Linked DNA regions of Mus musculus: region 1 is reported to be linked to region 2. The links are microRNA targets in miRTarBase. Many come from high-throughput screens and were not tested one by one. Region 2 holds a microRNA gene; the other region holds the end of a gene's coding sequence.

Evidence for each region. The annotated mature microRNA mmu-miR-344f-3p reads CUCUAGCCAGGACCUGACUAC and lies in region 2 at 7,699-7,719, shown strand. An mRNA with a match to its seed (bases 2 to 7 or 8) in the 3' UTR can be bound and repressed. Matches are read on the target gene's strand: a 7mer-m8 pairs with bases 2 to 8, a 7mer-A1 pairs with bases 2 to 7 and ends in A, and an 8mer does both.
Region 1: miRTarBase lists Tcf3 as a target of mmu-miR-344f-3p. The part of its 3' UTR that is shown has no 7-base or 8-base seed match.

What each region holds. Positions count from the first base shown.
Region 1 is chr10:80,400,997-80,410,345 of GRCm38, reverse strand. Tcf3 (transcription factor 3) reads left to right here. Exons shown (of 19, transcript NM_001164149.2): 19 at 72-805. The coding sequence ends at 214. Uqcr11 (ubiquinol-cytochrome c reductase, complex III subunit XI) reads left to right here and starts at 3,525. Exons shown (of 3, transcript NM_025650.2): 1 at 3,525-3,650; 2 at 6,060-6,210; 3 at 7,191-7,349. The coding sequence starts at 3,601. The coding sequence ends at 6,180.
Region 2 is chr7:62,036,350-62,053,901 of GRCm38, reverse strand. It overlaps Mir344f (microRNA Mir344f), which reads left to right and starts at 7,654; the gene lies at 7,654-7,721. It overlaps Gm23431 (a small nuclear RNA gene), which reads left to right and starts at 17,165; the gene lies at 17,165-17,271.

The DNA of each region.
Region 1 (9,349 bases), not on the chromosome of region 2:
CACAGCCCCGCCCCTCTCTGACCCCACCTGAGGACCGTCTCCCACTGCTCTCTCCTTCCCCACTCCCCCAGAACGCAACCTGAACCCCAAAGCAGCCTGCTTGAAGCGGAGGGAGGAGGAGAAGGTGTCTGGCGTGGTCGGGGACCCACAGCTGGCCCTGTCAGCCGCCCACCCGGGCCTGGGTGAGGCCCACAACCCAGCCGGGCACCTGTGAGCCGTCACAGCTTCTTCGTTGGACCAGGGACCACCATATCTCTGCCCGGGGTGCATCAGGACGGTTCTGGATGAGACAGGTCTCCATCGAAGCATGAGCAGAGAGAGGGCTCTGGGGACACTTCAGGGCCTGGGGAGGGTGGCACTGAACAGCTCCCTGCTTGGCCCCAGTGACCAAGCAGAAAAGTTCCTTCCTCTCGGTTAACCAGAACTGGAAACAAAGCAGCATGCTCCCTTTTCAAAAAGGAAAGAAAGATGCCTTAACTATGTAAGACGGAAGAGTCGGACCGTGCCCTGGCAGGGCGGCCTGGGACTGGCTTCTACTTCAGAGCCACCAGCACATCGTGCCTAAGCATTTTTCGTTTTTTTAAAGGAGAATAAAGGAACATTAGTTTTCAGATTTTTTTTTTAAATGTAGACAAAAGTTAGCAAGAACGAGGCCTTCCGTGTCTTTTTTTTTTCCCTTAGCTTTTTTTTCCGTATGTTTTGTAAGCAACAAATTTTTGTATAAAAGTCTCATGTCTGTTTCTGTTTCTAGAATTTATCGTCATATTTCATGGTCTACAAGGTTATTAAAGTAGCATTCAAAAGACCCAGTGTTGATCTAAGGGTCACCCCTACCCTGAGGCCTGGCACAAGATCTAGATGCTTGCCCCTTCCTCTTCCCATGAACATGAACCCAAGGCCTGTCTGTGCCAGGCATGTGCTCCTTGGCTAAACCATGCCCTCCTCATGTGAAGTGGGCCGTCCTCATGGTCCTCAATACTTGGGTGTCATGCATTAGGGGACCTCTAAAGAAAAGTTGCTAGAATAAGGTGTGTGTGTGTGTGTGTGTGTAAGGATATTAGAATGGCTTACAGGCCATGACCTGGGTATTCTCAACAGCGACAAAGCGACTGTCTCCAAGAATACTGTAGCTATTCAGTGTGCCAGCAGTCCCAATTCAGTGCTGGAGTCCTGTAGGATTCCTAGGGGATGCTGGTCTTGGGTCTGCACTGGAATCCTGAAGAACAGGGTTCTGACACCAGTGAGGGCAAGCAGGCAAAAAGCAAAAGCATTCTCCTTCCATGCCCTCTTATGTGGGCTACCACCGGAAGGTGTGGCCCAGGTTTAGGGGGTCCCAGCACAAGCGTCCCCTACAGGTGTGCCCAGCAGGTTGGGTGAGTTGATTCCAGCTGTAAAGCTGGGTCAGCAGACACATCACACAAGCCTATGCTCCCACAGCTGCCTCCTACATTCTCATCTGTACACTGGTCCTTGGGTCCCCTCCCAAGTATTGTCCCCTTGTTTCAGATCCCAGTGGCATCCTAGTCTCTTGGTAGGATAATGGTGAGACCACCAGGACACACCACAACACTGTTCATGCCTGTTCCATGCTGACCTCTGTCCCCACAAGTTACACTTCCTGAAACACCTCAAAAGCCTCTAGTGAGGAAGATTTTGTTCGGAACCATGGTAACGCCTTGTTATGGCAAATAATCTGTTTACCACTTTGGCTCGGGAACCTGCCACTTCTGGAAGCCATGGGAGGAACAGCTGGAATGAATACAAGACTGCCTTGCCTTATCTCTGCTTTAGTGGCAAACAGGCAGGAGAGTGTGGGATCACCCAGACTTCAGGCTTTTGGGAAGCAATTGACCTGTCTTGGGCCCAAGTGGCTGTGAGTCCCTATGCCCGGGGGTGCATGGCCACCCTCTGACAGTCTCCATCTCCCTGATCTAGACTTACAGAAGTGTAGCTACATCTCTATGAAGTTGGGTCCTCAGGCAACTTACCACTGAGGCCCTCTGCCTTATGACCTTTTTTAAGGTTGCACTGTGTGTGTTTGGCCTGTAGCTTGCCATGCTGGCAAGGCTGGTATTAACTCAGCTCCAGGTCTGTCAGTCTCCCCAGTCCTAAGCATTAAACACGTGGCCACCATACCCAGCTTTGCTTTTTTTAAAGTTTATGGGATGTTTTGTCTGTATATTTATCTGTGCACCACGTGTGTGCAGGCTCTGATGTCAAAAGAGGGCATCAGATCTCCCAGAAATGGAGCTACAAGGGGCTGGGTGCTGCCATGTGGGTGCTGGAAACCAAACCCAACATGAATGAACAGGCAGTGCTCCTAGCCGTACCTGAGACAGGCTTTTGGCTGAACCTGGAGGTGACCAGAGTAGTTCAGCCTTTGGATCCCGTGTCTGTCATCCTATGTTGACAGGGGTTACAAGTGTGGGCCACCACACATGGTTTATGTGGTCCTCATGCTATATGACACACACTTTACCCACTGAACTGTCTCTTCAGCCTGATATCCTTTTGTGTCAACCAGAGGACATGGTCTCCTGAGGGCAAAGAATTTTCCTTGCTCCACAATCCTAAGGGCATGGAACCCCCAACCTAGTAATAAGGCCCGCCCCTGATGTAGCAACTCTGTGGTCTGGTTCTTGGCTAAGGTCAGTGGCATAACTGAACCTACATACATTGGGCCTGTGGGGTCCAGGGCTCCGCAGACACCCATATGCCAGTCGCTGACCATTCAAAAGTGAGGCTGAAGTAACAAGGGACAGACCTTCTATCTAGGCTCCTTCCGGAGGGATGTGTATCTGAGGATGTGCCCGCCTTCTTTCTGCCAGTCAGGGGTGCAGTTAGTGGGTTAGCTGAGTAGTTAAAATGTGCCTGTTCTGGGAGATCAGGCAAAGCAGGGACTTAAGCAGAGAGGGTAACCAATGAGAGTCAGCCTGTGCACCAAAGGTGTCCCATTGCAAAAATCCAAGCAAATGGAGGTTAAGAGGGCACTTGCCATTTGACTGGAGTCCCTCAGCGACTCACCGACAACTTCAAATGTATTCAAAGGTGTGGCCCAACTCGAGCCTTTCCCCTTCAGGGTCTGTGCTCAAGTTCCTCTGGTTTAAATTGATCAAAGATAGGGCTGTGGCTCAGTGGGACGAACGCTCCTCTAGCGTGTCCAAGGCTCTGGGGTCCAGTCCCAGCACTCCCTGTCTACCCCAGGCTTACACTTTAGGAGGTGGAGGCAGGAGTCTGAGGAATTCACGGCCAGCCCTGAATATAGGAGACCCCCATATCAAAAACACCTAAGTATGTGTATTATTAAAGTTATTATCAGATTAGTACTACGTGGTCAAAGTCACACACACTCTCCCCACCCCATCCCCGGTGTTCCAGTGTGCATGGAGCTACTGCTGGGATCCACTGCAACCACAGAACCAGGACAGAAGCGGATCAGTAACGTCTTTCTCTCCTCCCCGGAAGTAGATGTCAATGTCTTCGGCGCCACCCCCGGAAAAGGTGGAGCGATCGCCTTCACGCATGCGCTATACGTCTGCACATGCGTAGTGCTCCAGGGCAGCGGAACGGGGTGACCCTGAGTATTGAGACCCTGCAGCGATGCTGAGCAGGTTTCTAGGCCCGCGCTACCGGGAACTGGCCAGAAACTGGTGAGGAGGTCACCCGCCATTCCACCGTGTGCTCTGGGGACTGGGGAAACCTGAGGCTGTAACAGGCAGAGTATTGCGGGACACAGTGCAGGTGGAAGCTCCGAGGTTAAGCTGCAATCGCCTTCGTTCGGTGTCTGAGGTGCTCCAAGCCTGGGTTTCCCCAGCTTGACCTGGGTAGCCTTGTGTGCGGCTCTGGGTGGGTACCCTGGACTCCTACGGCTCGGAACTCCGACGTGCAGCCTGGCGACTTGCAGCCTTTGGCTTTGATTTTGCAGTCTTTCGTGTACTTCGTTTTTTCGTTTAAACAGTGTTTTTGTAACCCCAAGTTGGTCTGGAACTCCCACCAATCATCCTGCCTCACACTTCTTGAACGCTAGAATAGCGGGCACCCACCCTCACCTGAATGTTTTCTTTGCATGCGTGTCTGTGTACCGTATACGTGCCCAGTATCCAGGTAGGCGAGAAGAGGCCATCGGCTCCCCTGGTACTAGAGCTAGAAATGGTTATGAAGCATGTGGGTGCTGGAAATTGAACCTGGGATCTCTGGGAAAAGGGCCATCTTCTCCAGTTTAATTTTTATTAATAGTTTATTTCCAATTATATGTATATGTGTGGGTTTGTGTGCGTGTAGTACATAGAACCGGTACTACACGCACAGGTGCCGGAAGTCTCCAGAAGATGGTGCTCAGGGTCCATCCACAGCGCCACACAGGGGTTGTCACAGCACTGGGGGTAGAGGGGTGGGGTGGTGGCAGGCAAGAGCCAGGAGTTTATGGCCATCCTCTGATACATAGTGAATTCCAGGTCGGGGTAGGGTACATTGAACCCTGTCTCCATGAATGATGAATGAATGAGTATAGCTATACCATGACTGACCCTTCTGGGTAGGCTGTATGGTATTAGTGGCCGCAGCGGAGGGTGGCATGGATCAGACAGAAGACACCTGCTGGGAGGCCAGGGAGAGGGCTCACCTGTGGGAGATTCCGTTTGTGTGTGAGGCTTGGAGGTGACACTCTGGGTGTCTTAGCAGGGGACAGAGGAGGTAAGGTTCTGGCACTGTTGCTCAGTGGCTGGTATCTTGGTGCTCTGTGTAGTTCAGATTCATGGGCTGTCTACAAACTGTCCACATGGTCCCACTGGGCATAACCAAACAGAGCAGTATCCACATGGTCCCACTGGGCATAACCAAACAGAGCAGCGGATGAACTTTGCCCCCAGTAGCCTGGTCCTGCTGCCCAGGGAAGGGTCTTCTGATGAATCAGCCCCAACTCCCACTCACCTGAGACAAGAATCTCACTGACATCCAGTCCTCGGAAGCCAAGTGCCAGCTGTCACGGTCACATATGCGATGTAACAGGAGTTTACAAGTTTACCACAGTATGTTGCCCATCGTGATAGTGCATGCCTGTAATCCAAAGGCTTGGGAGGCTGAGGCAGGAGGATCACAGGTTCTAGGTGTGCTTAAGTTGCATATTGAGTCTTGTCTCAAAAAACTCTAGGCAAAAAGTAATAATGGCTGTGCTGAGAGTCAAGGACTCAGGCACAGCTCGGCCAAGCTCAGCCAGGCTCAGTTCCCAACCCGTGCCTCGAGCACTCTCCTAGTTTTACTTTCATGTAGGTCTCATGGAACCGGGGCAGGCTTCTAACTCTCTCTGTGACCAGAGATAGCCTTGAACTCATGAACGCACCTGGTTCATGTGCTTGGGATGGAAGCCAGGGCTTCCTGTGTGTCAGGCAAGCTCTCTATCCACTGAGCAACAGCCACAGCCTCCCCTCCACCCTGGTTTTTATGTCATGTATGTGTGTGTGTTGTATTTTATATGTCATGTCTGTGTGTTTGTTGGCACCAGTGCCAGCCACAGTATGTGCATGGAAGTCAGACAGCAGCTTGAAAGTGTGGGTTCCCTACGACCTGGGTTCCAGTGACCATGACAGGCTTGGTAGCAGGGGGCCTTTTCCCTCTGAGCTGGCCTCAAACTCCGAGAGAGTGCTGGGGTTAGGGTTATAGTGTGAGCACTGTGCCTGGTGACCACGTTTTTATTTTTCAAGTAGGATCTCAGTCTGTAGCTTGGGCTGGTTTTGTCTGTAGTTGTTGTTTTGAGACAAGTTTCTCTGTGTAGTCCTAGCTGTCTTGAACTCAGACATCCTCCTCCTGCCTCTGCCTCTCAAGTGCTGGGGTTAAAGGTGAGTGCTAGCCTGCCTGGCCTGTGAATCTGGTTTTGAACTCAAAGCAGCCCTCCTGTCTCAGCCTCCCAAGTCTGGTGGTGGGGGTTATGCAGGACCTCCTGCCCTGCAAAGTCGAGGGAATATTGTGGGCCCTTGACTGACATCAGCATGGGATATGATGGGAGAAGGTTCTCAAAGGCTAAGTTACCAGCAGAGTCTAACAGCCTCACTCTTTCCTACCAGGATTCCCACAGCCGGCATGTGGGGCACTGTGGGTGCCGTGGGACTGGTGTGGGCCACGGACTGGCGGCTGATCCTGGACTGGGTGCCTTACATCAACGGCAAGTTTAAGAAGGACGATTAGGCAGCCCCTCCCCCACCACAGGCCTCGATGGTGAGTCTGAGTGTTGGCCTGACTTCTATGGATTGGGAGTTCTGGGGTGGCCTGGACCTTAAGCAGGAATTCCTTTTGTCCCTTGCCATCATCTCTTTTGTTCCTTGTATCTCTTGGAATACATTGCATGCTGAGGGCATGCAACACTGTGTCCCCATCAAACCACACCAAACTGGCTATTTTGCTAATGTTGGTAGCTTGTTGCCCAGAGTACAGTCCTATTTAGACCACCTGACTTGTGTATATGTGTGTATGTGCAAGTATGTATGTGCACATGCACACATAGGGAGGCCAGAGACTGAGATGGGAGCTTTCCTCTGTCTCTACTATCTATCACCTTTAATCAGAGTCTCTCACTGAACCAGAAATGTGCCACTTTGGCTTGGTCCTGGCTAGCCAGCACCTTCCCAGGGTCAGCCTGTCTCTTGCGGCCTTGTCCCTAAAGTGCTGGGACTATAAGTATATATAGCCATGCTTAGCTTTGATGTACTACTGGAGATTTGAACTCAGTTCCTGGTCCTTTCACAGCAGGCTCTTACTGGCCATCTCTCTAGCTTGTCCACTTTGTGTTTTAAGGTTCATGTTTGTGTGTGTGTTTGGGGGCTGTACCTGCAGTGCTCACAGAGGCCACAAGGGGGCATCTGACCTGAAGTCTGGTGGTTATGAGCTGCTGTGTGTGGTTGCTGGGAACTGGACCCAGGTCACCTCTCCAGATCCATCCATACAGGTCTCTTGTTGAACTGGAGCTCCTGGATTAGGTAGACTGGCCAGTGAGCCTCCTGACTTTTTGCATGTCTGCTGGGGGGTGGATGGAACTCATTTCCTACCTACTTATTGCTCCTCCAACCCTCTCACTCCATCTTATAGACAAGGGCCTTGTAGTGTGACACTGCTGGCATCACTCCCAGAGCTCAGAGGCCCTGGGCTGCCCGAGCTGGTTCAGTGTGCTTAGCTTACTCACCCTTTGTCCCCTCCCCCAGGTACCATGTGCCGAGGCCTCAGACACAGCGTAGTCCTGTGGAAGACACTGAGGAAGCTGGACACTGGAGAGGTCTGCACCGCTCAGGGAGCTTCCATGTTGACAGACACTAGGGCTGCCTTGATGGGTGCAGCATTAAACCTTATTCTTATGCCTTGGACGCCTGGCTCCTTCCTCATCATCTTCCTCAAGGCTTTCCGTGCTCAAGGGAAATTCGTCTCAGCCCCCAGCACTTGCACGTCTGGGAGAGTCTTTAACAAGCAGAAACCCTTACACTACATTCAAGTGTTTTCTGGGTGGAAACTGCACATTGTTTTCTCTCAGCTGGTCTGATAAATCACTCCCAGCTTTAATGCTTTTAAAGTAGTATTCACGGCCCCTATTGGCCACCATACCCAGCTAGAGCAGGGCTCCTTCCTTCCTGGTTTTGTTTGTTTCTAAGACAAGTTCTTATATAGCCCAGGCTGGCCTCACACTCACTATATAGCTAAGTCTGACCTTAGACTTCTCAACCTCCTGCCCCTGTCTCTCAAGTGCTCATGCAGCTGTCCACTGCCATGCCTGGTGTTCATGGAGCCGAGGATGGCCCCTGGGCCTTCTTGCATGCTAAGTAAGAGCTGTGCCAGATCAGCCACAGCCTTTTGGTAAAACTGCTGTCACCAACCCAGCACATACATCTCGGTGCTTCATAACCCAGTATGGTCAGATTTCCAGACAGTGTGCACTAAGTGATTTCTTGTCTTAAGAAATCCTGCGAAGCCGGGCGGTGGTGGCTCACGCCTTTAATCCCAGTACTTGGGAGGCAGAGGCAGGTGGATTTCTGAGTTTAAGGCCAGCCTGGTCTACAGAGTTAAGTTCCAGGATAGCCAGGGCTACACAGAGAAACCCTGTCTTGAAAAAACCAAAAAAAAAAAAAAAAAAAAAATCCTGCATACGTCTCTTCCCAGCACTCTGGGTGTCAAGTCAAAACAACCAAGAGTTCCATCCAGGTCACCAGCCTAGGCTACTGAAGACCTGGTGTCAAGACAAATTAACACCACAGAAGAGGCTAGAGATATCTCATATTTCAGGGGTTGTGAACTCTTGTTCTTTCAATGACCCAGGTTCGATTCCTGACACCTAGTGTCTCCAGTCAGTCCCATATCCTCTTGAGGCCTTCATGGGCATCAGGCACACATGATGAACAGACAAGACGTGTAAGCTAAATACTCATAAGCATAACTCTTTCCCTAGGCCTGGGGTGCAAGCCTGACATTCCAGCTCCTCAAGATGCTGAATGGGAGAAGGTGAAGTGAGGGCTGCTGGAGCCACTTAGTGAGTGGAGCCTGTGACTTGAGGGTGGACAACCCTGTCTTCATGCTTGGAAGGCTGAGGCAGGGTCAGGAGTGGGGTAGCCTGGGGCACACACAGCTGAGTACAACTCTTGTGATCTATCTGATTAGGGTTTCCACTGCTGTGAAGAGACACCATGACCAAGGCAACTCTTATAAGGACAACATTTAATTGGAGCTGGCTTACAGGTTCAGAGGTTCAGTCCATTATCATCAAGGTCGAATGACAGCATCCAGGCAGTTGTGGTGCCCGAGAAGGAGCTAAGAGTTCTACATCTTGATCAGAAGTCAGCTTGGAGAAGACTGATTTCCAGGCAGCTAGGTGGAGGGTCTCTCAAAGCCCACCCCTCCAGTGACACTCTCCAACAAGGCCACACTTCCTAATAGTGCCACTCCTTGGGCCAACCATATTCAAACCACCACACCATCATACCTGAGCGCAAGCTCTGACCTATTCACACAGTAAGATAAACTCAGGAAAGTTGTCAAGATCAGAAACGGCTAGGGATGGAGCTCCTTTAGGGTGTACAAGGCTCTTGGTCCATCTCCAGCACTTCATAACTGTCACCCCAGCTACATAGCAAGGTTCAGGACATCCTGGGCCACTTAAAACCCCTTATTGGTTTAAGAATAAAAAAGATGGAAGGAGAAAGACAGTTGAGTAACCAGCTTGGCAAACACGCGTGAGAGCCTGAACTTCCTTGCCCGGAGGCTGCATGTCTGAGACCTCCCTTCCTGCCAGCCCAGATAAAGCAGTAAGCTACAAGCTGAGAGACCCAGTCTGGGGAAGTTAGATGGTTCTGGATGGTAAGAGGCACAGATTTTTAAA
Region 2 (17,552 bases):
TTACTCAGAACCCACAATAACAAGAAGAAACAGGATGATTGTGTTCCCATAGAGCAGTGAGCTTGATGATGGCTGAGTGAACAATTCCCATGCTGAATTCAGGGAGGAGACTTGTATCTGGGACTGGAAATCAATGAAAAAAATATCTTCTGGGTTGGGAGGCAAAAGGCAGTTTTACTCTTAAAAAAAAAAAAAAAAACAAAACTGTAAAGGTTGTGGACAGTGCTGACATTTCTGACCACCTTATCACTCCAACTTGGATTTTTGGACCATGCACTAACAATAACAAAATAGAGCCATCTGAGAGTATGTGTACATAGGAAGGAGAAACTTGTTCAAATTTCTCTATTGATTTAACTTTTCTTCCATCATCTACCACACAAAAACCTGAAACCCATTGGAATCTTATAGTAACAGGATTGAAATGACAGGAAAAGTAAAAGATACAACTTGAGTCTTGTATTTGCTAATGTTAAATGAAAAAAAAAAAAAAAACCCTAAGCCAATATGCAGACATTACTCTTCATTACGTTTAGGTGTCTGAGTAAATTTTTATCAAAGACTGTTCAAAACTGAAACTGCTAGAATTACAGAAAAGCTTTAGTAATCAAAGAACACCCACAGCCTGTCCTTTGTGTTCACTGGATATGGGGACAGATTGGATCAGTGTATGAGCTGTGGAAGCAAAGAAACTGAGCAATACATCCATATATCCCCTTTTGGACATAGTCTTCATGGAGACCATAGAGGGTAATCAATTTCTGATTAATTATCTCTTATGATCTATAATAAATTCTTCCAACACTTGAGAAAGTCCCCATGGATTTTAGATAATGGAAGACAGTAGAGTGGGAAAAGCACTACTGAGGGAATTAGGTATGAGGAAAGAAATAATTGATATCCACTTGACTGAGACTGACAGATAAAATAATGTTCACCACTAACTTAAGGAAAGCAAGTACTAAGCAAGGTTCTTGAGGCTGGCAAGGAGTTTTCTTAGTTTTTATGAACTCTTTGTTTTTATTATAAAGTTGGAAAGGCTTTAGCAGACTTATATAGTTACACCAAACTTCAAAGATAAAGTGAGATTGATTCATGGAGGAGCGAAAGGGAAGAATAATCAGAAGAGCGCGGAAATGGATGGTATGTGAAGTCAAATGTGGGAGGTTCCTGAAAAAAAAAAACAAACTGAAGATACAAAATACTTTTCTCATGAACTTTATGGCTTTAAACAATCACCTTGAATTGAATAGAAGGCAAAGATAAGCCTATCTCTGCTCAGTATAGTTATGTCTCTTTATTAATCAGTGCTTCATTCTCTTCTGTGAAAAGAAGTATTATGGGTGGGAATAATTTGTATGAGTAGGACCTTTACCGGTATTCAGGTATCATGAGTTGTAGGCTGCAGTTGGAACTAAGATCACAGTATAAAAACTGAGCCATCCTGCTACCCCAGGGAATACAACTAACTAGTGGCTGTAGCATTGGAGAACAGGATCTCCTTTGTGGTTTGCCTTGTGTAGGGCAGAGAAAAAGGAATCAGATATACTAAAGCAATTATTATTAAAATGAAGGGGTTCTCTGTGGAAAACTTAGTTCTTCCTGTCCATGCTAGTGTATCCAATGGTGATGAGAGGAAGAAATAATAGATGCTAAGATTAAACGCTGTGCTAAATATTGATTATATTTGATTCGGTGTCTTCTTAGCTTTGAACTCCTGAGATAAGCTGACACTTGCTCAGAAGAGATGGCAGTGGATGTTCCAAGTGCTTTACCAATGTTAAATCAGGAGTCCTATTATTACTTATAGTGTAATGACTTTTGCATCATTGTTCTGTCCATATACTGTATATCCCCCTTTTATTGTAGCTATCACTGTGTAATCTTTGAATGTTTTGCAGCTTTGAAGACTCATTTAATAAACATGGGAATGCATTTAAAGTATCATGCATTGATAATAATTTTACAAATGGTGCATAGGAGAGGAGATTCTGTTAAAAGGTACAGAAAAAAATACAAGCAGATATTTGTTGAAGCCACAACATTGTGCATTGGAAATTCTAGGGCTATTAATAGGTTACTTCCCTAGTAGTTATTGGCCACAGAAAACCTAGCAGTTTCTAAAAGAGTAAAGATGTTTGCAGCAGGTGTTGGCTTTATTTAAGAACTGAATGATGCCCTTGGTATTGTGAGGATCATATGCCCCAGTATAGGAGAATGTCGGGGCCAGGCAGTGGGAATGGATGGGTTGGAGAGCAGGGCAGGGAGAGGACATAGGAGGCTTTGGGGTAGCATTTGAAATGTAAATTAAGAAACTATATAATAAAAAATGCCTTAAAAGGTCATGGCAGAAGGAAAAAACAGAACTGAATGAAAAGGTTCTACTGTTGAGGAAGTGTATTGCTTGGCCTTTGAGGATTAAGAAATACAATTTAAGTCATGCAAGTCTTATTTGCTATAAAAAACGTTGTGAATTCAAATTTACCAGGTGTACTTGTCTAGAAGATTCTTTTTTCTTTGGAGTTATTCACTATCTTTGGCTCTGACAGTCTTCTTAATCCCATTTTCTGTTGAAATCTTTGAGGCATGAACTGATATGTTTGCTTAAGACATCTCATTTAGGAGCAAGTGCTCAAAGTTTCTCATACTTAGGCTATTGTACAGTTGTGAATCCTTATGTTATTTCCTATCTACTACAAGTAGGATCTTTGTTAATGATTATTGAAGAGCATGTTTATCTATGGGAGGAATTTTAATACTAGATTCCTTTAGCTAAATAATATTAACAGGTTTTCCACAAGCCTTGTCCCATCTAGTCTCAGGTGTTTTTTTTTTTTTTTGTTTGTTTGTTTTTTTTTGTTTTTCACAGTAACAATGTTCTCTATTGGTTCTGCTTTGTGGGTTACATCATAAATTCATAAAACTGAAAGATTACTCCAATGACTTTTGTACAATGATTTCACCAGTGTATTATACAAGCATATCATTAATGTAGGTTGCATCATTTGTATCTGGGTAGCATTGATGATTTCTTCTTTCCACCAGTTATGTGTAGAGTATCTCCCAATACCAGGATTTCTAGTCAGAAATAGTAAAGCTTCTAATTTTCATGAGCACGATTTCTCTGTGTATAATGTGATAAATAAGCTGCATTTCCAGCAATAGGCCTCACAATTAGGTTCTATAAAGTAGAAGATATCCTTGGCTGTAACCTGTGATAGCTGTAGAGTCTATATGACTCCATTAATAAATGAATCAAAAATAACCCATTTCCAATACTATACATTTTACTTGGTGGCTTAAATGTTTAGTTGAACTATCCTCTTTTGTAAGGTGAATCCATTAAATTACATTCTGAAGTGTATACATTTTAGGAATTTTTAAAGTATTTTTCATGTATTCATACATGTCTATATGATCTAATGATTACTTATACCATTCCATCTTTCATCCACAGCAACACTCATATATGTCCCATTTGATTTCAAATTCGAGGCATATTGTTATGTGTTTTATAGTTACAAACATATAATTATGTATATCTAATGACTAATTTCTGCATTCAAGGATTCCTTTGGATTTACAGTATTTTTCTATCTCTTCCATAATACTCTGAAGCTTGATGCTGATGATGGTTTTAAATTTAACTGTTGTTATTAGGCATACCAAAGTCAGATGAATTTTGACCAGGGGCATACTGTAAAGGTCTCTTTGTGCTGCAAAATGAAGTTGTTTTGCTGATGGTGAATGTTGCATTAATCTGTGGATATAAAGATATATATTTAGAATGTGATTATAAAGCATACTGGTTCAGTAAGTTGGCCGCTGTAGGTTGTTTTGCAAGACTGGTAATCTCACTGTCTGTGAACAGATGACTAGGGTTACAGTGTTTGGTATAACACATTTCCTTGATCATATAATAAGACTACTGATTATCATTCACATTACACTCTATCATGAACAATTAACGTGTAATTTTGAATAACTAAAACTCTATTATCATGATGAGGGCTATGATTTGTGAAATAATGACATTTGAGAGGAGTTGATGAAATATTGAAGTTTACCTATAGGTTTTGTACTGTTCTTATCTTTAGTGTTCACTTCAACATAGCATGGAGGTAAGGAGTAGATGAAATATAAAAATGAGAGACATAGGGGACTCTCTTTTCTACTTTAATATTGTAAGAAATTCTTAAATCAACCTTACTGGAAATGACAATATGAAAGAATATTTTGTTAGAAGCTTGTCTGTCTTGAATGTGATGCAGAAATTAGTGGAGAGTAATTATACTACCTGTGGCTGACAAAAGAATGATGCAGGTACTTTCCTATTTTCTAAGATTGCAGAGAATCAACATTGAAACTTTTGGAATATCTCAGAGATGATGATCTTCAGTGTTGTGGTACAAAGTGATTTTTGGAATATGTAGAGCAAATATTCTTGTGGTCCTTGAATTATAGTCAGTGGGTTATTCTTTTTTCTTTTAACGTCAACTATGCCTGGGTCTAATGGTGGCCCGTTGGGCAATATAATTCCTCTGAAATTATGAGCTTCTGATTTAATTGCTAGAATACACAGGTAAAAATCCACGTATAGTGTTTTTGGCATGCAATTCCATGGCATGCAGTTAAGATTGCTAAGTTTTTCTGGCCAGCCAAACTATTTTTTTGGTAAATTTGGTGAACATAAATGTATCAAATTAAGCAAAGGTAGTAGGTACAATATCAGAGTTATGCAAATGAGCTGTAAGCAGTTAAATCTGCATACACAAAACTTCTATAGATCAAGGAAGATAAAATCTTAGCAGGGGTGATAGAACCCTCAGGAAGTCCCACTCTTATTTTAGATATCTTTGGCATTTGATGGACTGCTGGAGAAGGGAGAATTTGTTTTATTCAGTAATGTTTGGCCTCAGAAGATACCACGATTATATTAGAGATCCATACATCCTTGAACACTTACATAGCCTAAATTGACAAGTTGATATTAAGAAGAGAGGGAGAATGGGCTGTACAACTCTATAGTATGACTGGTTATGGTTTTTCTGAAATAATCATCTTTTACACTGAGGAGTTTCTTTATGAATGGAGATGAGTAAATTTATCTTAGCATATTCAGACAAATGTTTATAAATTGTTATGAGATTAGACTATTACACAATATTTTGTTGTTATATTTGATTAATAAGTTTGTGGTTGACAATTCTCCACTATCCATAACTTCAGTAGCACCAAGTAATTAACTATGTTTCTAGTACTAGGATATTGTTTCCCTCTGAACAGGACATATTATCAATTAGAGTGTTAGTAGATGCCACAAAGTTATGTATGCTGCCACTGCACACTTGAGGTTATTATGCTATGCTGTTAACTGATGAGGTTTACAGCCATGATAGCTATATATGACTTTTGATTGCCTTTCTCCTTTGGAAGCTTGCCCATTATTTTTATTTGTATGTTCTTTTGGTGTCCCTATCACCTCCAGATTCCTCAATACTTCCTCCAAATTTTTCACAAGACTTCCTGAGTTCCATCTCATGTTTGGATGTGGATATCTGCATCTGTTTTGGTCAGCTGCTGAGTGGTGATTTCCAGAGAACAGTTATACTCAATTCCTGTATACTAGGTTCCTGACAAAGTATCATTAATAGTGTTATGATTTAGTTCTTGCCGAAGGGATAGATCTCATGTTGGGCCAGGCATTGGTTTGTCTTTCTCCCAGTGAATATGAAATCTTTGTCCCTGCACTTCTTGTAGATAGGAAAAATTTGGGGTTGAAGTTTTTATTGTGAGATAGTTTCATTATCTCTTCACTGGAAGTCCTCCCTGGCTATAAGAGGTATTCACTTTAGGGTCCATATCCCCTACTGCTAGGATTCTTAGCTAGAGTCACCTTCATAGACTTCCACAAGCCTCCTCAATTACAGCTTGCAAGTTCATAGTAGATCTATCCACAAAATATTCTTACACCTAATGTTTGTGGTACAATAAAGTGAAGTAGCAAAAATAAATGTCAGAGCCAGGTGATCAGCGAGTTTTGTTATAATAATGTTTCTATGAATAATTTTAAAAGCTCCATCAATTAAATTTCAGTAACCTGAACATCCAAAATTGAGCTAAACTTGATGGGAAAGTGTTCACAAGGACTCCACCATACTTATAGAACAACATGCAACTGAGGAAATCTGGAAAAGGAAGATGTGGCCATTCTCAGCGAAGATCACACAAATTATTTGTGTTTTAACAGAAGATCACCTTTGAGAATGTGTATTGAAGTAACATTAAACTTACTAATCAGATTATATTTAAGAATATATAGGTATATGCATGTATACATCCAACAAAAATTAGTAAAAGGGGGACATAAATTTGAAAGATATTGTGATGTGGTTTATTGGAAAATTGAAGGAAGAAAGAGAAAGAAGAAATGCAATTAAATTATATCAATAAGAATAAGAAGGTAGTCACACACATGCATACACAGAAATACACACAGACACACACACACACACAGACAGAAAGAGAAGAGAGACACAGAGAGACAGAGAGAGAGAGAGACAGAGAGAAATGAAAATGCAGCCATGCACAAACACATGCACACATACATAAAGAGAATAGAGAGATTCATATAAGTACAGATAGAGTAGTAATAGTAGAGATAGTGTAGGATTTTAGATTATAGAATGTAGGGTAGGTATTAAAAACACATAATATTTATAATGAATAAAATATGTCTTAAGAAATGAAGCTGCTAGTGGGGAAAAATGTAGATTTGTCTTTTGTTTGTTACCTGGATGCACAATATGCTCACTCCTCACACCAGAAATGTATGAGTTCACAAATGCAAGCAGAGAGAGAGAAAGAGAGAGAGAGAGAGAAAGAGAGAGAGAGAGAGAGAGAGAGAGAGAGAGAGAGAGAGAGAGAGAGAGAGAGAGGGAGAGAGAGAGAGAGAGAGAGAGAGGGAGAGAGAGAGAGAGAGAGAGAGAGAGAGAGAGAGAGGCAGAGGCAGAGAATAATTATGGACCTGTCTTAAAATAAATTTTCATACTACCTGTTAAATTATTTCTTTACAATGACTATACTTTAAGCCATTTCATGTTCATTAGATATATTTCTTTTTTAAATCTAATCTGCTTTTTCTGTAGTCTAATCATTCTAATAGACATAAAGTTCTAATCTAGTGTGATGGCTCATTCTTATAATCACTGCGCTTGTAAACAGTGGCGCAGCTGGGTAGAAAGCATCAGCAGCAGCTGCATCTGGCAGCTCAAAATCATAATCAGAAGGGTCCAGACAGACAAAGACACTTCCTTTTACAAGAGCATCTATTCCCAAGCAACCAGATACATGCTCAGAGCCCCCACACACCACTGGCTGTTTTTGCCTTTTGTCAAGTGGAACCATGTAAAATTGCATTTATTTATTATTTCTCATTTCACTGTTCCTGCCTGCTGCAGCACACAGAGAGGAGAGGCGATACATACAAGCTTGTATAGAAATCTCCCTGGTTACAGAAGGCTATTGATTTACATAGCTAGTTTTGAGATCTCTCACTTGATTGGTCCTAAGCCCATTCTTATTTTGAATGCACACACTCAGCCAATCATAGACAAATGGTGCTAATATAAGTCCCTGAAGAGAGGGGTTTTGCCAGTCAGTCTCCTGGCTGGAGTCCAGCTCTAAGCTGGTTCCAGGCTCTAGCCAGGACCTGACTACAACCTACTTAGCAGTGAAGGAGGACCCATATTAAGATATGCCAGGAAACAGAGCCAATGGAAAACCAGCATAGACAGGTACTTGCTAAAAGAGTCTGCACGTTTATTGAATTATTTGCTTCTATTTCCTCTTTAGGAAATGTGTTCCTTCTTCCTTATCCATTGCTCTTTTTTAAAAATATATTGCTCAGAGGGACTAATAGAGACTGAAGCAGTAGTCATGGAGCCTAGGTTCTTTGCAAGTGTCTGCTTATTAAGCTTGGGGGTTTTGTGGGATTGCCCACTGTCAGTGTGAGGATGTCTCTGACTCTTTCTCCCTGCTCTTGGGACTTGCTTTCTCCTACTAGGTAGCCTCATTCAGCCATGATTTAAAGGTTTTTTGTTTTGTTTTGTTTTCTCGTATTATTGCATCTTTTTTTTTTGCTATGTTTAGTTAGTATCAATGGGAAGCCTGTTCTTTTCTGAAGGGAAAAGGAGGAACATATGTTCCAGAGGAGACAGGGAACAGGGAGGGAGGGGAGGTTGCATTTATGATACACTGTATGAGAGAAGTATAAATTTTATATAGACATATATATATATGATTTACCCTTGGATTTTGGCTTTAATCTGCCATAAGCATCCCAGCCTTCAGTATATAACAGGAAACAGGAGAGCTGCTGTTCCATAAACATCTCAGCTTTCAGTATATAACAGAGACAGGAGAGCTACTGGTCCATAAACATCTCAGCTTTCAGTATATAACAGAGACAGGAGAGCTACTGGTCCATAAACATCTCAGCTTTCAGTATATAACAGAGACAGGAGAGCTACTGGTCCATAAGCATCTCAGCTTTCAGTATATAACAGAGAAAGGAGAGGTACTATTCCATAAGCATCCCAGCCTTCAGTATATAACAGAGACAGGAGAGCTGCTGTTCCTCAGACTCCCTTCATGGACCTAATATGAGGAGAACTGCTATCTACATATATCTCTTATCTGGCAAACTAAAACTCTGAGAGAAAGGTCAGAGCTGAAACATTCACTTTTTTAATGGGTGGTATTGTTTTATTGAAGGTAGATTTTATTTCATACAATATATGATTGTGTTTTCCCTGAGCCAAACTTTTTTTTAACCTTACTTAGGACTTTATTCTTTTGTTTTATTTATTTGTTTGTTTGTTTATTAAAAATTGGATATTTTGTTATTTATATTTCAATTGTTTTCCCCTTTCCAGGTCTCCCCTTGGGAACCTCCTTTCCCATTTCCCTTCCCCCTGTCTCCATGAGGGTGCTTCCTCAACCACCCATCCAGTTCTGTCTGTCTTCCAGCCCTTGTGCTCTGGCATTCCCCTATACTGGGATATCAAACGCCATCAGGTCCAAGGGCTGCTCCTCCCACTGATGTCCAATAAGGCCATTTTCTGCCACATATGTGGCCCAAGCCATGGGTCCCTCCATGTGTACTTTTTGACTGGCAGTCCAGTCCCTGGGAGCTATGAGAGATCTGGCCAGTTGACACTATTGCTCCCCTCCAAGTGTCAGCTCCTTCAGTCCCTTTTCCAACTCCTCCATCAGGGACCATGCACTCAGTCCAATGGTTGGCTATGAGCATCCACCTCTGTATTCATAAGGCTCTGGCAGAGCCTCTCAGGAGACAGCCATATCAGGCTCCTGTTAGCAAGCTCTTCCCAGCATCCACAATAGTGTCTGTGTTTGGTGACTCTATATGGGATGGATCCCCACATGGGGCAGTATCTGAATGGCCTTTCCTTCAGTCTCATACCAAATCCCACCCACCCAAATCTAATCTACACTTTTTCCTTGTCTCTTTAAAGAGAATATAGACATGAATTTACTACTACTACTACTACTACTACTACTACTACTACTACTACTACTGAGCAATCATTAAAATAAAACAAATCACAGTAAGACACACGAAAGAAACAAACAGAAGTAAAATAGCCAAATGAAATTATGCAGAGGCACACATGTTCACACAAAAATAAGTGGCACCAAAACACAATACCATAAACCATTATCCATTATAGGCATGCCCACAAAAAAAGGACATGTAAATAAACAAGAAAACACCACCAACAACAACAGAAACAAAACAAAACAAAACAAAACAAAACAAAACAAACACTGAGTGAGTATTATAAGAAAAAGAAACTCAAAAATGCCTTTGAGTACTTTTTTGTGTGCGATCTACTTCTGAGTTTCGGACCTTTAAAGTTAATTTGCATATGCGATGAAGCTCCACTAGAGGAAACTTAATTTTCCATTTGCTTGCAGTAATCAACTGGCGATAGCTTGTGGTTTTGTGACAGGTCATGTGCTGACTTCTAGCCAATAATCATCAGGTAGCATAAAAAAATGGGAATGGGTGGGTAGGGAAGTGAGGGGGAGGATATGGGGGACTTTTGGGATAGCATTGGAAATGTAATTGAGGAAAATATGTAATAAAAATATTAAAAAAACTGTAAAGCTGGAATCAAGAGTATCACAGATTCTATGTTCTAATCCACAACCAGTTTTTTGGTAAATATTGTTTCTGCTGTGTGATAAATATATTTGTTTACTCTTCCTTGTCTGGACACTCCAGTTTTGAAATCAGGCAAGTTAAGAGGACTGGCCATATCCTTAAGGAAATAACTTTTATATAAAAATTTCCTTTCAATTTTTTTCTTTTGAAATCTTTATTTAATCATAACATAGTCCTCTTTGCTTTCTTTCTACATCCTTCTCTATACATATTTTCACTCTTCTTCAAATCCAATTATTTCAATTTGTGCTTCTTATATGTACATATGATGTGAGTACCAAGATATAAACTTTCAACATTTTCAACATGGTAGAAAAATTAGGAAGGAGAGAAGTGGGGTAGAAAGGGACACATTATTTATTGGAATCTATAAAAGGTCTCAAAACCTCCATTGGGTGATTGGTTTGAATATAATAGATATAACAGATAATAGGAGCCACTATCACCCTGTACCTGAGGGGTAGTTCCCTTGCATTTCTGCTTAGAGGCTTTGCAGTGTCACTTAATATTTGTATATGCCTTTCTCCTCAGATTTCATCAGAATTGAGTTTAGTTAATTGTGGATAACTAGATCACCATATTGATAATATTGGAAAAGACATTGAACTAGAAACCAAATTTTAAAGGCCAAGTTGAGTTTATGTTCACATATTTATATGGCATGAAATCACAAGCATCCATTATTACATAAAATAGTAATTTAAATGGTCCAGTAGTAAATTGCATAACTAATAGTGGATGAGTTAATTTTGTAAATTCTTGAAATTTCATTTAATCATTTTTATTCAAGAAATGCACAAGGTACTCTAGCTGATTCTTTATGGTGTTCCTTAAGAAATGGTATCTCTCAGGAAAAAAAACTAGTTAATTAGATTAATATACAAATTTGAATTTGTATATTCAGAGTACTAGTTTTCTATTAGGCTATACTATGGCTAGTTCAATAACTTCCCACAACACATGAGAAATTTGACATAACTTCACTCCTTAGTCTAAATTCTATACTTTGCTAGATGTCTACCAAGAGAAAATGGGTAAGCCTTTTGTTCTTCACAGTTTGCCTTTTTTACTTGCTGCCATGTATTAAAATATGCTACCTACTTACTGTCTTGTTTATGATTATTATGCCTGGGATGAAATACCATTACCAAAAGCAACTTGGAGAGAAACAATTTGGATTATACATTGTCTTGAGGTTTCTGTTGCTGTAAAGTGACACCATAGCCATGACAAATCTAATAAAGGAAAATATTTCATTGTCTGACTTAATATTTCAAAAGTTTAGTCAATTATCATCAAGAAGAAAAGTATGGAAGCATGGAAGCATGGAGGTGGGGATTGTGGGGCTATATGCCCTGCAGCATTCAGGCAAAGAATTTAGGGAGGGAGTCCTTATTCTTGCTGCTGTCAAGATAAGACTGTAGTTTTATGAAGTGATTTTAGGGGGTTAGAAACCTACCAACCTCACTCCTATTCCAGTCCCATTCTTTCAGCTCACACTTGCCCTACAGCTCTCATGCCTTCAAATCCAGAGCTGTATGACATTTACAGTACTGGTATTGGCTGCTAACAGGAGGAATCACCTTAAAAGATCATGGAACACATCTGTGTGTTGACTCGTTTTTTTTTAAACGTGTATTGGTGTTTACCCTGTATGTTTGGTAATGGTATTAGATCTTGGAGTTATAGACACTTGTGAGCTGCCATGTGGGTGCTGTACATTGAACCCTTGTCCTCTGGAAGAACATTCTATGTTCATAACCACTGAGCAACCTTTCCAACCACTCTGTGTGTTGACATTTAAGAAACACTTTCCAGAAGACTTTACCTCAATTTGATATAACTTCACTATTGTGCTATTCTTTTTTTTTTTTTTTTGGTGATGAACTATCTTTTTTTATTTTTTAATGTTCTTTTTTTATTGGGTATTTATTTCATTTACATTTCCAATGCTATCCCAAAAGTCCCCCATATGCTCCCCCACCCACTCCCCCACCCACCCACTCCCACTTCTTGGCCCTGTCTTTCCCCTGTACTGAGGCATATAAAGTTTGTAAGACCAATGGGTCTCTCTTTCCAATGATAGCCAACTAAGCCATCTTCTGATTCATATGCAGCTAGAGACACGAGCTCCGGGGCAGGGGGTGGGGGAGGTTACTGGTTAGTTCATATTGTTGTTACACCTATAGGATTGCAGATCCCTTTAGCTCCTAGGGTACTTTCTCTAGCTCCTCCATTGGGGGCTCTGTGATCCATCCAATAGCTGACTGTGAGCATCCACTTCTGTGTTTGCTAGGTCCCAGCATAGTCTCACAAGAGACAGCTCTATCTGGGTCCTTTCAGCAAAATTTTGCTAGTGTGTGCAATGGTGTCAGCCTTTGGAAGCTGATTATGGGATGGATCCCTGAATATGGAAGTCTCTAGATGGTCCATCCTTTCATCACAGCTCCAAACTTTGTCTTTGTAACTCCTTCCATGGGTGTTTTGTTCCCAATTCTACGAAGGGGCAAAGTGTCCACACTTTGGTCTTCGTTCTTCTTGAGTTTCATGCATTTAGCAAATTGTATCTTATATCTTGGGTATTCTAAGTTTCTGGGCTTATATCCACTTATCAGTGGGTACATATTTTGGGGGTTCCTTTGTGATTGGGTTACCTCACTCAGGATGATGCCCTCCAGGTCCATCCATTTGCCTAGGAAATTCATAAATTTATTCTTTTTAATAGTAGAGTAGTACTCCATTGTGTAAATGTACCACATTTTCTGTATCCATTCCTCTGTTGAGGGTATTGTGCTATTCTTAATCACAGCTGATTTTCAGCATCCATAGGCCTAGAACAGTAAAAATCTTACTTTAGTGATCCTGGTCTCATGTTGGTTACAGCCAATACATCAGCTAAAGCTGATCTGACACAAAAGATTCATCACAGAAATGGCTTTGTAGAGTCTTTACTTCTCTCAGAAACATCACAAGCCAGGACACCATCACCTGTTATCTTAAAAACTCCTATGCCATATTCACTGTAAACTCAGCATGCAATGTTTTTAGTTTCCCAAGAGTTCAGTCTCCTTCCAAAATCTTATACAAAACAACATGGTCAGTTCTGTAACAGCAATAACTCACTCTTGGCACCAATCTCTGTCTTAGTTAGGTGTAGTGTTGCTGTAATGAAACACCAACATGCAAAACAACTAGGGAAAAAGACTGGGTGTGTTAATTTGTACTTCATTATCATAGTATATCATTGAAGGAAGTCAGACCACAAACTCAAACAGAAAAGGAAATTGGAAGTAGAAGTTGATGCAAAAGATATAAATAGGTATTGCTTACTGGGTTACTCTCATAGATTATTGATCCTACACTCTTATACAACCTAGGGCCAAAATTGCCTGGGTTCAATGAAATCAATCACTAATTAAGAAAGTGCTCTGTAATTTTGTTTACAGACAAAGATTATAGAGACATTTTAAAATTATGGTCCTATCTCTCCTCTGGCAATATCAAATGACAACTTGACATTAAAGTAACCAACACATACAAAGACTGTTGTACGAGTGAAAGAAAGCAAACATCACCATTCTCCATAGAGGACAGTAGGTTTTTATTTTTTTCTTTTCTTTATTATTTTTCTTATATGTTATTCCTTCTTTAAGTTTAATTATCTTACTTTTATGTGTTTATAGATACTATGTAATAATAAATGTTCTGACATTTTGTAGAGCCCATATGAGTTCACTGTTACCATGTGTTTTATTACCACTCATATACCAGGATTACATCACATAGTGAATTGCCAATTCAGTAGTATTGGGGTCCAATCTTCAATTGTATTTATACAGAGAGTCCAAAGTTCTTATTAGGGGAATATTAAAGACTGTTCTCTATGGAGTGTGGAAGCAGATAATAACACAAGATACTGCATGTCTCCCAGAGAAGGACTAGCTATCAATTAAAGGAGTACAGGACACCGTGAATACAAAATGGACCTCAAGAGGACCCACATGAACAAGGCTATTATATTTATATACATAACTATAGTATATCTCTACCATAGTCATTTATTCAGTTGGAAAATTAGCTCCTGTTGCCTAGACCCTGGAAGAAGAGTGACAGCAGGCCTGGCCCACATGCCTCACTTGTCATATCAGAGCAGCGAATATTTAGCATCATTTACTTTGCATGCAAGGAGCTTCAGGATACTCCCCACCCAATTCATCTCATAAATAACTCCTGGAAAATGGAGAAACAAATCAAAAATCCACCTTATATCACAGAAGTTTATCCTGTTCATATGATGATTGCCAACGGGCAATTGTTTATATTGTATCTCTACTTCTTTATTTCTATAGCTTTATTATAGCCCAACATATACGAAATGTATAATTACAAGACCTTTACTAGTGTTAATGGCACTGATTAGAGAGATCATTTTTAATGTGGGTCTGGTTGAGTTGTAAAAGTTATCAAGTGGTGATACTCTAAGTGTTATATGGTGGGAATTTATACAAAGACAGTGTAGACAGAGAAGGTTAGTGCTGAAACTCAGTGCTTATGTTTGGCTTTCTTTAAGGAACTGTTCAAGACAGAATAGTTTAAAAGAGGATGGACAATTTTATGGGCCGTATTGAAGAAGTTTGAGAGGGCAGAGAAACGGAAATATTACGTGTAAGTATGCTGTAATCGTCTTACAATAAATGGTAAGCTTATATTCAAATATATGTGGAAATAACACGAAATTATGATATTAGTTATACAATTTATATTTTTATTCTATTATCAGTTGATGCATTTAAATTGGAGCCATTTGATAAAGTCTTTTATACTGTTGATATTTTACTGTGACTTCTCTAGTCAATACAGACTAGAATAAAATACTTAGGTGCCAATGTCTGTACCCATGTAATGATTACTTATGGGCAAAACTTCATACTCACAAAATGTGAGGATTGACAATTATGCCAATGGTATATGTTGTGGAATAGTAATCTTTGCCTGAGGTTGTGTTTTGTATACAACAAGATTAATATACTGATATTTTTGTATTTTAACATATTATTATTGTATTAATTCTTAACATTTTAAAAGGCCAATACTGTCTTGACATGTTCTAAATTAGTTCCTAAGACATGAAGAAAAAAAAGTAGAACACCAATGCTTCTAGTAAGTCTTCCTGTAGCTACATATCTCATATTACCAGGAGATGATATTTATTCTCTTTTTCTTTTCTTTTCTTTTCTTTTCTTTTCTTTTCTTTCCTCTTTTTTTTGGATTTTCAAGTAAAGATCATAGCATTCAATAAATAAAGAACTTGGTAAGTTTCATCAAGTACTTTGAAATGAATAATTGTTTGGGTAAAGGAGGCTCTGGGAGAGCTGCCTGCTCTTAGGGCAGTGATCTTCTTCTATGCACTTTCCCTGAATAATTATACACATTCTATGATGAGTGTTTTGTAATGCAGATGTCTTTATGTTACTTATTATCTTGTAACAGAAAATGAACAATTTGGTTCATTGATCTGAAGCTATTTGAAATTGTTTTTGTAGTTGTGGTTCAGTCATTGATCCTGCTACTGGGCTGAACAGACATTCATTCATATCTCATCAGGGTATATAAAATTCAATAGAATCACAAAGTCATTGTTTATTTTAAAAATTTTCCAGACTCAAAAATCATTCTGTATGTAGGTTTAAGTACTGTAGTCTGTTGTCTGTATATTTTCATAAATATATAATATTTATAATTTTTGTGTAATATTACACTTATGTAAGAACTTTATGACCCATGCATGTGTTCAGTTTTGAGAACATGTCATATTTTTTTCTTCATTGGTATCTAATACAAATGACCTTGGATGGCAGTAATATGGTATAACTGTTTGTCATACAGAATGAAAGGTCTGTTATTTTCATCATGCTATCTTCAACCAAGAATGTTTTATATATATATATATATATATATATATATGTATATATATATATATATATATATATATATATATATATGTATGTTCATATTAGCAAGATTATTTTAGAAAGATTATTTCTTTAGATTCTATTTGAATATTTATGATAGTGATTTTTAAATCCTTTTTGTGATTATAAAATGCTTAATCATTTCTTCATTCACTTCCCTCATTTCAAATACTTTCATATACTCCTCTTCATTTGCTTTCAAGTCTGTTTCCTCTTTTTAAATTTCTCGTTATACCATGTAGATCTGTACATGGAGATAATTATATATTCCCTAATATAATCTCCTAGTATTTAACACATCTCAGAATATGTCCTGTTCCTTTGGTTTCTGAAATAATTCTGATACATTTGTAATGTTCTCTTAGCCTCTTCTTGGGAGTGTTTTGTAGATCTATCTACTGGGACAAAGCTCAACAACTCTGCATTTTGATAGATTGTAATTTTCTACAAGGGTCTCTCTCTGTTTCAAAGGGAACTCCCTTTCATTAGGGTTAAAAATTATGTCTATCTGTAGGTATTAGACAATGTTTAGATTGTTATTAAAGATTTAGGATTTAGTAAAATTATAAAACTTAGTAGTTTCTCTTCTAGTAATCTTGACTGTGTTTGCATACTATAAGTAGCTAGGTTTCAACTACCAAGCATGTATTTTTTTTCTTTTTCTCTTTAATTTGATATTTTCTTTATTTACATTTCAAATGTTTTCCCCTTTCCAGGTCTCCCCTTGGGAAATTCCCTATCCTATCCTTTCATCCATGCCTCTATGAACTTGCTCCCCCACCTACCCACTCATTCCCATCTTCCTGCCCTAGCATTCCCCTACATTGGGTCATCCAACACCCTCAGGCTCAAGGGCTTCTCCTCCCACAGATGTCCAACAAGGCCATCCTTTGCCACATATGCAGCCAGGACCACAGGTCCATCCATGTGTATTCTTTTGTTGGTGGTCCAGTCAGCAGCACATATACTAAAATTGGAATGATACAGAGAACATTAAGATGGCCCTTGCACAAGGATGCCACACAAGTTCATGCGGCATGTATTTCTTTCTGATGCTAGAAATGTATTTCTAGCAGTTAGAAAGCTATTGATTACTTCCAAGGGATACATTTCACTATGGCACAATTAAGTTTAATGTGAAATGCTGATGGTTGTTGTGGTTTATTGGTGTCATAGCTTAGAGGGACTTCATTTGAAATTTTACATAGCATATTCTTGTACCATGTAAGCTAGTCCTCCTGGAGGAAACTTTCAGCATTGTTTCAGATCAGGGACCTCTAAGCCTGGATATGTTGTTTCAGCAATTGTTTCAGCAAACTTCCACTTCTAGG